Linked DNA regions of Neurospora crassa OR74A. The protein of the gene in region 3 purifies or fractionates together with the protein of the main gene of each other region. This does not show direct contact. Links are inferred from orthologs where the notes say so. Each region holds a gene or a part of one and is shown on either strand. Other genes may lie near its edges.

What was found.
Region 1: the proteins of NCU05232 (region 3) and NCU09673 purify together in Saccharomyces cerevisiae (affinity purification with mass spectrometry; 4 studies listed by BioGRID, with this or other methods). This does not show direct contact. The link is inferred for Neurospora crassa OR74A from reciprocal best matches to the Saccharomyces cerevisiae genes APL1 and APM4.
Region 2: the proteins of NCU05232 (region 3) and NCU07989 purify together in Saccharomyces cerevisiae (affinity purification with mass spectrometry; 3 studies listed by BioGRID, with this or other methods). This does not show direct contact. The link is inferred for Neurospora crassa OR74A from reciprocal best matches to the Saccharomyces cerevisiae genes APL1 and APS2.

What each region holds. Positions count from the first base shown.
Region 1 is NC_026505.1:874,889-878,638, reverse strand, and holds the start of NCU09673 (AP-2 complex subunit mu-1), read right to left. Parts: upstream 2,217-3,750; 5' UTR 2,105-2,216; coding exon 1,768-2,104; intron 1,677-1,767; coding exon 707-1,676; intron 612-706; coding exon 605-611; 3' UTR 1-604. Other genes in the region: NCU09674 (O-methyltransferase family 3), read right to left, coding at 2,868-3,608. UniProt on the Saccharomyces cerevisiae protein: Component of the adaptor complexes which link clathrin to receptors in coated vesicles. Clathrin-associated protein complexes are believed to interact with the cytoplasmic tails of membrane proteins, leading to their selection and concentration.
Region 2 is NC_026504.1:3,822,653-3,826,380, forward strand, and holds NCU07989 (AP-2 complex subunit sigma), read left to right. Parts: upstream 1-1,117; 5' UTR 1,118-1,711; coding exon 1,712-1,743; intron 1,744-1,899; coding exon 1,900-1,969; intron 1,970-2,046; coding exon 2,047-2,376; 3' UTR 2,377-3,163; downstream 3,164-3,728. Other genes in the region: NCU07988 (ATPase family AAA domain-containing protein 1), read right to left, coding at 1-534, 599-658; NCU07990 (hypothetical protein), read right to left, coding at 3,472-3,728. UniProt on the Saccharomyces cerevisiae protein: Component of the adaptor complexes which link clathrin to receptors in coated vesicles. Clathrin-associated protein complexes are believed to interact with the cytoplasmic tails of membrane proteins, leading to their selection and concentration.
Region 3 is NC_026504.1:5,672,828-5,676,577, forward strand, and holds the start of NCU05232 (AP-2 complex subunit beta), read right to left. Parts: upstream 2,500-3,750; 5' UTR 1,771-2,499; coding exon 1,726-1,770; intron 1,466-1,725; coding exon 1,205-1,465; intron 1,143-1,204; coding exon 778-1,142; intron 729-777; coding exon 1-728. Other genes in the region: NCU05231 (ER membrane DUF1077 domain-containing protein), read left to right, coding at 2,919-3,059, 3,120-3,472, 3,530-3,608. UniProt on the Saccharomyces cerevisiae protein: Adaptins are components of the adaptor complexes which link clathrin to receptors in coated vesicles. Clathrin-associated protein complexes are believed to interact with the cytoplasmic tails of membrane proteins, leading to their selection and concentration.

The DNA of each region.
Region 1 (3,750 bases), on a different chromosome or scaffold from region 3:
TCCTGGGTGCTAAGTAGGCGGCCAACTCCAGTCCAAGGCCACCGGTATCAGGCCTCTCGAGGGACCTGTTACTATGTAAGCACATTCCCGTTTCAGCCATGCTCGATCGTATTAACAGGACAACAGGAGATGAGTTCAAAACATTTTTCCCGTGTCTCTTTCTATCATCGGACAAGCCATTCCCCTGGTGCTGTTCCAGACCATTCCCTTCACCAGCACCCATGGTCTGGTAGTTTCATACAAAGCTGATTGGCGACATATCCTATCGCTTGAAGTTTAGCTCTCCATATCGCACGGCCCCATGTCCTATAGCTCACTGCCACGCGTGCCACGTATTATCGTGCCTGTCCCATACACTGGCGAAGAGCTTTTCGTCGTTTTGTGCTCGTCGTAACGTTGTTGTGACCCTTGTTCCCCCTTTGGGACATCTCCTTGTATAAGTTGATTTTATTACTCTGGTATCAATCGCCTGATGCTTCCCTTCGTGTAACTAGTAACGCCCAGACGCCGTGCTATTATATGCCGTAGGTGGTAGGATGGCCCGTGCATTAACCGGATAGGGTGTGTAGTCGGTGGCGCACGCCATTACGTATTATACAATAATTTAGAACCTGTGAAAGTATTAGCGAAATGCATTGCGCCGGTAAAGGAGACAGCAAAGAAATCGGAGAAGAAGAACAAAAAAACGAAAAGAACGGCAACCTACCTAATCTCGTAGCTTCCTGCCCTTGTCATATACCTCACCCACTTCACACTCGAGTAGTTGCTCTTTTCGAACACCTTAAGATAGCGAACCAGCAAGCCAGAGCTGGTAAACATCAGCAAGCTAAAGTTCATACTGAGTGGCGGCCTGCTCCAAGCCTTCTGGTTTGTCATGCTCGTAAGCTCGGCCTCGGCGCTCAGCACAAACTCGCTCTGTCCAGCAAAGCGACCAATCTTCCACACAATCACGTTCTCGGACGGCTCGTACTTGGCCTTGCCCTGGGTACAGCGCTCCGTGATCCTGGCCGTGTTGAGCGGCGTGGGAATCTTGACGACCACGTTGGTCGCAAATAACTTGGATCCAAAGTTGGCGCGCACACCGATGCTGTATTCCACCTTTGTCTTGCCCACCTCGTTGACAATGGCGTGCACCTTGAACGGCAGGTTGACGTTCTCGGTTGCGCGGTACCTCATCAGCTCGAACTCGCCGTCGGGCGGAATGAAGCTGATGATGCGGTCACTGTCAAACTTGCCCAGCTTGACGCACTGGTGGAATTGGCAATCTTCGAGCGTGACGCTGCCGGCCGCGGCCTTGGTCGCCTTGCTCCCCATCCTGTTGCCGCTGGGCAGGCTCATGAGTCCGTCCTGGTCGAGTAGGAGGCGGTCGTTGAGACCGAACTTGCACTCGGGCGTGCCGCTGAGGTAGGCGCGCATGATGATCTGGCCGTTGACGTCGGCGCGCAGGACGGAGCCGGTTGCGCTCATGAGCAGGTTGACATCTTCGATTACGTCGACAAAGGCTTCGTTCTTGCGGTACTTGACATCGGCCTTGCGCCAGGATAAAGCGCCAGTAGCTTGCATGGTGATCTTGGCGGAGTCCTCGACGGCGCGCTCCGACTTGACGCCTTCGGTTGTGATGTACATCTTGAGAGTGTCGGTCTCGGTGTTTTGGGGATAACCAAAGTCGATGATTTCTGTAAGGGCGCGGCGGACATAGAGTTGAGGTTAGTTGCAAGCCGCCATCTAGAAACACCAAAAAGGGGGGCTACCGTAGGTGGGACATACCATCCAGGAGCTCGTAGACCAGGACAAAGTTGTTCTTGACGGCCTCCTCGTCAAACTTGCCAAAGTAGCCGCGACCCAGCTGGATCAAGCGGTAGAGGAACTCGAAGACCAGGGCGGCATTGGCGTTACTACGGGTGATGGCGACCAGGTAGATGTTCTCGTGCTTGACATGGCTGAAGGTGGTGCTGCCGAGGGTCAAGATAGGGGATCGGACCTGGGCGTTGCTGATGACCTGGATGCGGAACACGTCCGCCAGTCGTGGGCGGCAGTCATTGCGGAAGGCTCGGAAGATGAGGTTCTCGCCCTTTTGGTTGAAGATGAGGATCCCGGACAGCATCGTGACGGGTGTCGTCGGGGGGAGAAGAAGGAAGGTAATGATTGAGAGTTGCAAGTCGAGTTGGCGACGGGCGGCGACGGCAGACACGGGCGGGCAAGTTTCAATGTCAAAGGCGGCGGGCGGTCAGGAACAGCAACCCGCGTCTACCTCTCTCTACACCCCATTACTAGGTACCTGCGTGTGCTGTACCTAGGTGTTGAGCGCCCCGACTAGTGCCACCTGAACGGCGGCTCTTCAGGGGATGGTGGACGCTACGGGGGCGCGCGACATGGGTGCCCTGCTGGGGAGAGGAGCCTGCCGCTCTGAGCTGTGTGCCAGTCTCCGTCCTGTCGCACCCTACGGCAGGCAATAACCGAGCAAGGTAGGTACATCATACCTTACTCCTGCCCTAAGCGTTTAGGAAACACAGCAGCGAGGCCTGATGGAAAATTGTTAGTGACACACGCACTGCGCTCTGCACCAAGCAACGAGGTACTTTGACAACGAAGCCCCTTTTCGTGGCACTAACAATAAACAAGGAGCACGTCTACAACTCTGCGCCAAGGGGAAAAAGGATGGGCAATACGACATCTGAGGAGCACGACATCCTGCTTCATCCCACCTACGACCACTTCATTATTTGGAGCTTCAGGAATTTTCAAGGCGACATGTAACGGTTCCTTTTCATTGCAGCATACTATTTAATCGAGTGCTTGATAAGTCCCCCACCACTGTCATGACTCATAACATCGTACACTTCAACTCCCAATTATAGGTAGGTATTTCAAGCATCTGTCTTCAAGATGGCCCAAAGACATCCATCGTAGCTCTTCTCGCCCACAGTCTGCATGACCACCGACTCAACCCTCGTGTCCTTGGCCACTCCCTCGACCAGAATCCTGCCCGCCGTCTCCCTGGGCTCCGTCAAGCTCTGATCAATCAGCCTGCCTCCGCGCACCACGTTGTCCACGCAAATCATGGCCTTGGGCAGCGCCATTTCCACCGCCAAGTTGAAGTAGTTGAGGTTATTTGGCTTATCGGCATCGATAAAGAAGAAGCCGAACTTGGGCCTCTTGCCCTCTTCGATCTCCTTCTTCAGCTGGTTCAACACCTCCAATCCTGATCCCTGAATAACCTCGATTCTGTCCGACAAACCCGCGTACTCAATGTTCTTGCGCGCCACCTCAACGTGGTGGGGGTCAAACTCCACAGTGGTAAGCTTCATTTGCGGGTTCTCGCTGGCGAGCCAGATGGCCGAGTAGCCGCCCAAAGTGCCGACCTCGAGGGCGTGTGTGACGCCCAAGACGCGGCACTGGAGAGCCATGAACTTGCTCTGAGCCGGAGAGGCCGAGATGTCGGGCAGGCCGGCGGCTTTAGAGGCATCAAGGGCGTTTTGGAGGGCTGAGGCGTTGGGCTTGCTGGAGGGGTGGAGCTGGCCCATGGTGTAGCCGTCGACGGCGGTCCAAACGTCGTTTTGGACCCAGTTGTGGCCCTTGTTTTCGAATTTGAAGTTGCCGGTAGACATTTTGATAGTGAGATGTAGTGTTTGTGGTGCTAAAAGTGATTGTGGTGGTGAAGGGCGTCTCGGCGGCGGGGGGGGGGGGGGGCGGGCTTGATGAAGAGGTGCTATTTGGCAACGGGGTAAGTGAAAACTTAAAGAGTTAGCA
Region 2 (3,728 bases), about 1.9 Mb from region 3:
GTTGGAGTCGCCGTACCACTTTTCTGTAAGAGTCGAGATATGCAGATTGATGAACGAGGCGCCGCTCTCGTGCGCCACAGCTTTGGCCAGCATGGTCTTTCCGCAGCCAGGAGGGCCATATAGCAAGACGCCCGAAGGCGCGGACAGTAGCGTGCCGCCATGCGAATAGAGCTGCGGCATCGTGAGCGGGTAAATGATGGCTTCCCTGACCTCCTCAATAATCTCGTCTAGACCGCCGATATCGTCGAACCCAACCGGGATGTCCTCGGGCGCAACTACTTCCAGCGCTACCTGGCTCTCGTACTCGTTGAGAATGAGGTCCTCAACCCGCACGGTGGAGGGTGAGTCTTCGGGGACCTCATCGTCGGCGAACTCGTCGTTGGCAACTTTGGATTTGTCTCGTGACTTTTGTATCCTGGCCAGATTTTGTTGAGCTTTCAGCCTGTTTTGGTCGTGCTTAGCACGGTCGGGGTCGATGAGCTTTGCGACGTGGGGGGCGACGTAGTCACGGAAGATGAAGTATACGGATATTGTCTGGAGAGCAAAGTGTCAGCAGATTGTGGTGGGCGCATTGCATCGCGATTAGCAGGGCCCGTACGGTAGCAGCTAGTAGTAGCCCGGACATGATGTCCTTGGCCACACGCTTATTATCGGTCATTTTGACTTGAAGAGTGAGCCCTGGCCGGGTCGGGAGGGGAGTTGACAGCCCGCGGGTCGCATCCAAGAGTTGAGGGCTCTTTTGTCGTGGACGTCGTGATCGGAGGACTGGTAAGAGGATACAAGATGTATAGAGAAACAAGGGCTAATGCAACGAAGCGAACGGCATGCACCGGGCAGCAGCAGTAGTTGTTGTTCGCGTCCAAGTCAATGGACGTGACTGATGGAGGATGGGAACTTGAACTGAATCATCAAAAGTTGAAAATGGGTCCCCTCGAACGGTGGTCCTCGGCTTCAGCTTGCCATGTGCACTGCGTTCGGCCCAGAGAATGGGGCGCCACCCCAGTGGCTACAATCGATGTGACCTGACCTTGTCAATCTTGCCAAGACCTCACACACTTGTCCCCATTACAGTGAATGGTCCCGACTCCCTTGCTTCCGTTCGATCGATCGAACCTGACAAAGATTGGACTCGAACTGGAACGGCACCGCACTGAAACCAAGCGCCAAAACAACGACTCCAGTCGCACTGCGACACGTGAAGACGCGGCGCCTGCCCTGGGCGGATAGCGCAGCTGCTATCGATAAGCTCCTACAAGTGCCAAGAGTTGCCCCCTATCGGATCGCATCAGATGGAAATCAGCCAGGGTTCCCTCCATTCCGCCTCCACTGCCGCTGTGAACGAGCACCTCGATGGACGACGGAAAGGAAAGCTCGGGCCCCACTCACCCCTGGGCGGCTCGTATGGACGCGGCTCATCCCAGAGGGACGACAGCAGGACTTCGACATCACCGCTAGCAATTCCATAATCCGTATCTAATCATTTACACAACACCATCTTTTCCCTTCCCGTCGATCCTTTGTACGAACATCGATTTACGTCGCATGTGAGATCCAATACCACGCGGTTCTAGTGCCGGGCAGTTCAATAAAGCAACGGCGGATTCGCGGTTCGGTTTGGTTCTCTTTACACTTTCTGTGTATTGTTTTTCAACTTGGCAACTTTCAGACGGCCGCCCGCCTCGCTGTTGTCGCAAAAGTATAATTTGCAGCCATGTTGTCTTTCATTCTCATCCAGAACCGACAGTACGTACCCTTACCTCCTCTTCTACTACATACAAGCGCATCATGTGTCGCAAAGTCGCAACATCATATAGCAGATGTGCCACACCATACACCATACACATACATATCTAAAAGTCCATTGTCGCAAACTCGATAGACTAACACCACCAAACAAAGGGGTAAAACCCGTCTAGCAAAGTGGTATGTCCCCTACAGCGACGAAGAAAAGATCAAGCTCAAAGGCGAGGTATGTCCAGTTTTCCCTCTCCCCCCTTCCCTTCCCCCTTACTTAACCTCCCCTTCTAAATTCTTCACATCCCCCAGATCCACCGCCTAGTAGCCCCCCGCGACCAAAAATACCAATCCAACTTCGTCGAGTTCCGCAACCACAAGGTCGTGTACCGACGATACGCGGGCCTGTTCTTTTGCGCCTGCGTCGACACGAACGACAACGAGCTAGCCTATTTGGAGGCCATCCATTTCTTTGTCGAAGTGCTGGACAGCTTCTTCGGCAACGTGTGCGAGCTGGACTTGGTCTTCAATTTTTACAAGGTGTACGCCATCCTGGACGAGGTGTTCTTGGCGGGCGAGATTGAGGAGACGAGTAAACAGGTTGTCTTGACGAGGTTGGAGCATTTGGATAAGCTGGAGTGATGACGGAAGGAAATAAGGCGTTGGAAGGGAAGAAAAGGGCGAAACGGATAAGGGGCTAGGAGCCAAGGGGGGTGGATGAATGCGGAAAAAAAAGGGGGGCGGGGGGCGGCTGACTGACGAACCGCGACCGACCGGCCGACCGACCGACACACCAAAATATCAACCAGGGGCTTGGGATGGACGACGACGAATACTGACTTCCGCACTTGGACGGCTCTCGGCAATTCCAGCCGAACATACGGGTGCAGTAACGAGGTCTGACCTTCTGCCGGAATCGTTCGAACGACCCAGACCCTCGACCCCATCAACACAGAGCTGAGCTGGCTGGACCTTACATGACCACGACCCTCGGACGGGAAAGCTTTGGGTTAGTAGACGTCAACCCCTGCCGTCCACACTTCCAATGAGAGAAACGATCACCGACTATCCAAGCATCGAAAAGGGATGACAAGAGAGAAGGACGCGAAGAGGTGGTTACATATACCCATATCACACATAAGGGGCAGGAACATGTTCAGCAAACACTGAACAAGCAAGCTGCCTATTCTACCACACCAACAGCCCCTTATATATCAGGGCTTCTGAGCTTATACTTAGAGTAATCGATCAACTAATCTTACAAAGACACCGCGTCGCGAGATCCGAAACGCATTGCTCTATGAAATATTGGTGTTCCTTCACGACTCTGCCTGAGAAGCTTCCGATGTTCTCTTCCAAAGCATGAAGTTTTCGTCAGTGGCAAATAAATGAACCGTCTCTGCAGCTCAGCAACGAAGCGAGCCTCAATGGCCGGTATTGACACTATTGTGTGGTGCTCGCCATGAAGTGAACCCTGCGCTGCAAAAAAATTCGGGTATCTACCTGCCGTTGTCACCAAAAAAAAGTTGCAGAATTAACTTTGACCATGGAGAGACGTTCGTCGACTTGGACATGCACCAAAGGGATGTTTCAATTCTAAACAACTGTTTGCTTGCTTGCAATCTGTATCGAATCGTGAAACGAGACCATAAGAGGTATTTGACGCCATGATCCAAGTAAGTCCGTAGCATATCTTGCCAACCTGTCAACAGACTGGCCTGGAGTCAAGTGCAGACACTACTGCGCCTTCGACCCCTCGAAGACTGTGACGTCCACTTGATCTTCAGGCTGAGAAATCGTAACCTCAACAGGTTCAAGGTCCGCTTCAACGTGAATCACGTCCTTGATGGCCGTCTCAGATTTGCTATTGTCTCCAATCTCCTCTGCGCCCTCCATTGGCGTGCAATTTTCATGGTCATGTACTGTGGCCCCATGCCCAGGCTTGACTTTGCGGACGATATCAGCGCTCTCAGCCGAAGTCAAGTTGACTGTGT
Region 3 (3,750 bases):
CGATACGCGAGGCGTACTGGCCAATGACCCACACCATGGCTGCTTTGGCTTCGGGCTCGTCGAGCGAGTCCAGGTGCTCGCAGAGGGTGCCGATAATGGACTCGTACTGGTTCGGGTACTTGCGGAAGATGTTGCGGATCACTACCGTGGCTTCTTGCACGATGTAGGTGACCTTTGTGGAGACCAACTCGAGCAGCAGGTTGATGCATCGCTTGGCCGCTGGCTCAATCTTAATGGCCAGTTTGCCGATGGCGCGGACAGCCTTGCGGACAAAGTGGACGTCGATTTCGGTGGCGTACTCGCGGAGTTCCGTCAAGACCTCGTCAATGTTCTTCTCATTGGCGAGCATGAAGATGAGTTCGAGCTTGGTGACCTTGACGTAGATGGGGTCGTTGTACTTGCAGAAGAAGACGCGGATGTCGTTGCGGAGGACTTCGGGGCGGCGTTGGAGGATGAGGAGGGCGTTGCGCAGGGCGAGGTATTGCACTTCGGGACCCTTGGCGAGGAGGGTGACCAGTGGTGGGGAGAGTTTCCGGCAGAGGGCCGAGATTTGCTTTTGGTCGGAGATGTAGTTCATGAGGTAAAGGATCACACGGATACAGGTGAGGACTACCGACGAGTTGGAATGTGAGAGGCGTGGGGCAATACGCTCGGCGAGAAGGAGAGCTTCGCCGGATTCTTGGGGGATATAAGACATGAGGGCTTCGAGGATGTAGGTTTGGCCCCATCTGCTTGCTATCAGTAGACCGTACTTGTGTTGCAAGGGGGATAACCTACTCGGAGCAGTCGGCCAGAATGGCAACCATCTTGGAGGCATTGCTGTAGTCGATAGTGAGTTTGATAGCATCACTCCTCTCCCAGATATCCATCAAGCTCGCCAGGGCACTGGCCACCACTGTCGGGTTGTCGTCTCTCAAGAGGTTGTTGAGTCTGTCAATAAGGTCCGAAGCCTCAACCATGTGTCGATCGTGATCGTAGAGCTTGGCCACGCAGAAAGCCGCCGTCTTGCGAACGTAGGGGTCGATATCGCGGAGGAGGTGCTTGACTAGTGGCACAGTAGCCTCGACGAACTCGCGCACGTGGATATAAGACATGGTCCGTAGGGCAAGGGCGCGCACCAGGGGGTTTGGATCTTCCATGTCCTGGTCTTTGTCAGTGACTGGCTATATCGCACAAAAAAAGGTGGACGTGGTTGGTGACTTACATGTTCCAGAACCGGAATTGCTTTTACCGCAATCTCTGGCTTCATCCTCGCATAGTTGACCAGATACAAGAAGCACATCTTTTTAATTTCCAAGCTCTGGATGGCCATGCAGGCGACAATATCGGGAAACAAACCGACCATGTCATTGTTACTCATGGTCATGTTGGCGACAATCTTCTTGAGGGCAATCTTCTTTTGGGTAAAGTTCTTGTCCTTCTTGCTGCCGCTGTTCAGCTCGAGGCGTAGCTCAGCTACTTTGCCCTGTCGAGTCTGTGGTAAGCTAATGTTCGGCGGGATAGGGTATGCGACAAACATGGTGGCGGTGGTCATTGCGGTCATCAAGGTTCGCGATGTTGAGGAGAAACAAACAAGCAAGCAAGGGAGGGGGGGGGGGGATACAGGAAGGAAGCTGAGCTGGGGTGGTGGATGGGAGGAGGGGTGGTGGTGGTGGTGGTGGTGGTAGACAAAGCAACGGCATATCCCGAGCAGCGTAACATGTGTAATGATATATTTCATCTTACCCTCGCGAACAGCTTGGAGTCTCCTCCTCCTTGTGCGGCCGACATGTTGTTGTTGGCTGCTTGTAGAGTATAGTATTATCGTCCACAACCTCCTCACAGCTATTCCTGTTTTGGTCGATTCGAACCCGGTGCCGAGGAATGCTTGCGATGCAACGAAAATAGGTTCGATATCGACAAAATGGACGAATGGCAAACGAGCTCGGCGCGGGCGTAAGGTGTGGTGGGTGGTGTGCTAGGCAAGGAAAATGCCCCTCTGGCTCTGGAACACAATTATATGTTTTGTGATTATCGTCGAGTCGAGAACAGCCAACCAATGTAACAACAAGCAGGTGAAACAGGGTGTCACAGGCACTCTTTCTGCTGCTTGTCCTCCTCTTTATTTTGTAACTTGGAGGTTGAGGCAGATAATCCAATGTCCGTCGCGAAGAAGTTCCCGAGTGCTGGAGTACTAATGGAGATAATTGTCGTCGAAGAAGGATCGCGATGTTCGTCGTCGTCGTCGTCGTCGTCGTCCTTGTCGTCGTCACTCTCTCGGTAGGCTCGGTGAAGATCTGTTCCGGCGCAAAGTACCCTCCACTTTCTGTTGTCGCTGTACTGTACGTAGTTGATCGGGATGAAACAGCTTCTAGGTACGGTAGTCTTCAGCCAAAACTCCAACGAGCCAGACAGACAACGGAAAAGATGATGTTTAGTTCAAATCTTGACTCGCCGGGGGGGGTAACGATGGAAAATAATACGGGTTCAATTCTGTTCACCGGTCAGGTTGGGGCGTCCCCTGAACCGTCGGGTCGATTAATTACGGCACCTCCTGGTCAGCGATCGCGGACCCTGCAGACCTGGACCTGCCGCTTTGGTGCCGTCAACACTGAACGCCCACTGGACGACGCCCTTCTGCCAGTGAACGACTGGCACGCTTCAGTGGAGCTCGGTAGCATCATCAACAGCGCACGGTCCCCACCACTCGGCGGCCAGCGTGGGGAAGCGGCTCAACTAAGTGTAGTGGGGCCCTGCGGTGTCTCAGAGACCGAACGGGAAGTGGAAGTCAGGGACGGGCAGCTACCTTAGCGAAGCACGGACTCCATCACGTACACTACACTACACTACACGTTGGGCGTCATCGCAATCCAGCTTCCACCTACTTCCCATTACCAATACCTTCACTTTCTATAGACGATACATTCACAAAGCCCGCCATGACTGACCTCAAACCCGTTGTCGACCCCGCCCCCAGATGGGTAACCGACCTCGCCAACCCACCGCCTTACAAGTCCAAGCCTGCCAGCATCCCCGATCCCCCAGGCTACTCGTCGCAAGCCGTATCTGGTTCTTCCAAGGCAAGCAACTTCCCATTACCACGAATCATAGCCCCCTCGCTGACATGTTTACCCCTACAGAAGAAGGATGTCTCCCGCCCCGCCCCCCGCGAACAACCCTCCCCCGAAAAGATGGACCAGCTCAAGCTCAAAAAGGCCTGGGAAGTCGCCCTCGCGCCCGCCAAGAACCTGCCCATGACGCTCATCATGATGTACATGTCCGGCAACTCGCTCCAGATCTTCAGCATCATGATGGTGTTTATGGCCTTCAAGAACCCCATCATGGGCTTGTTGTCGACCAACCAGGCCTTTGAGCGATTCGAGACGGACAGCAACCGGGGGTCTATTCTGCAGGTGAAGGCGGCCTATGTGCTTATGCAGGTGTTGGCGCTGGCGGTGGGTGTGTGGAAGATTAATAGTATGGGACTGCTACCGTCAGTTTTATCCTTGGGGAGAGTGTGGTGAAACGAAGGCTAACGTGGTGAATACAGGACAACGAGATCCGACTGGCTTGCTTGGGAAGTGCGCAGGGAACCGCTGGAACATGCTGTACCAGCATTGTCGTTATGAGACCTCGAACTTGATGGACGATGGTAGAGGGAGACTGAGTCTCAACTTCGCGGATACTATACACGTTCGAAATATGCATATCACAGCGATTGGTCTCTATACGGCAGCAACTTCTTTTGTAACCATTGGCTATGGATGTCGA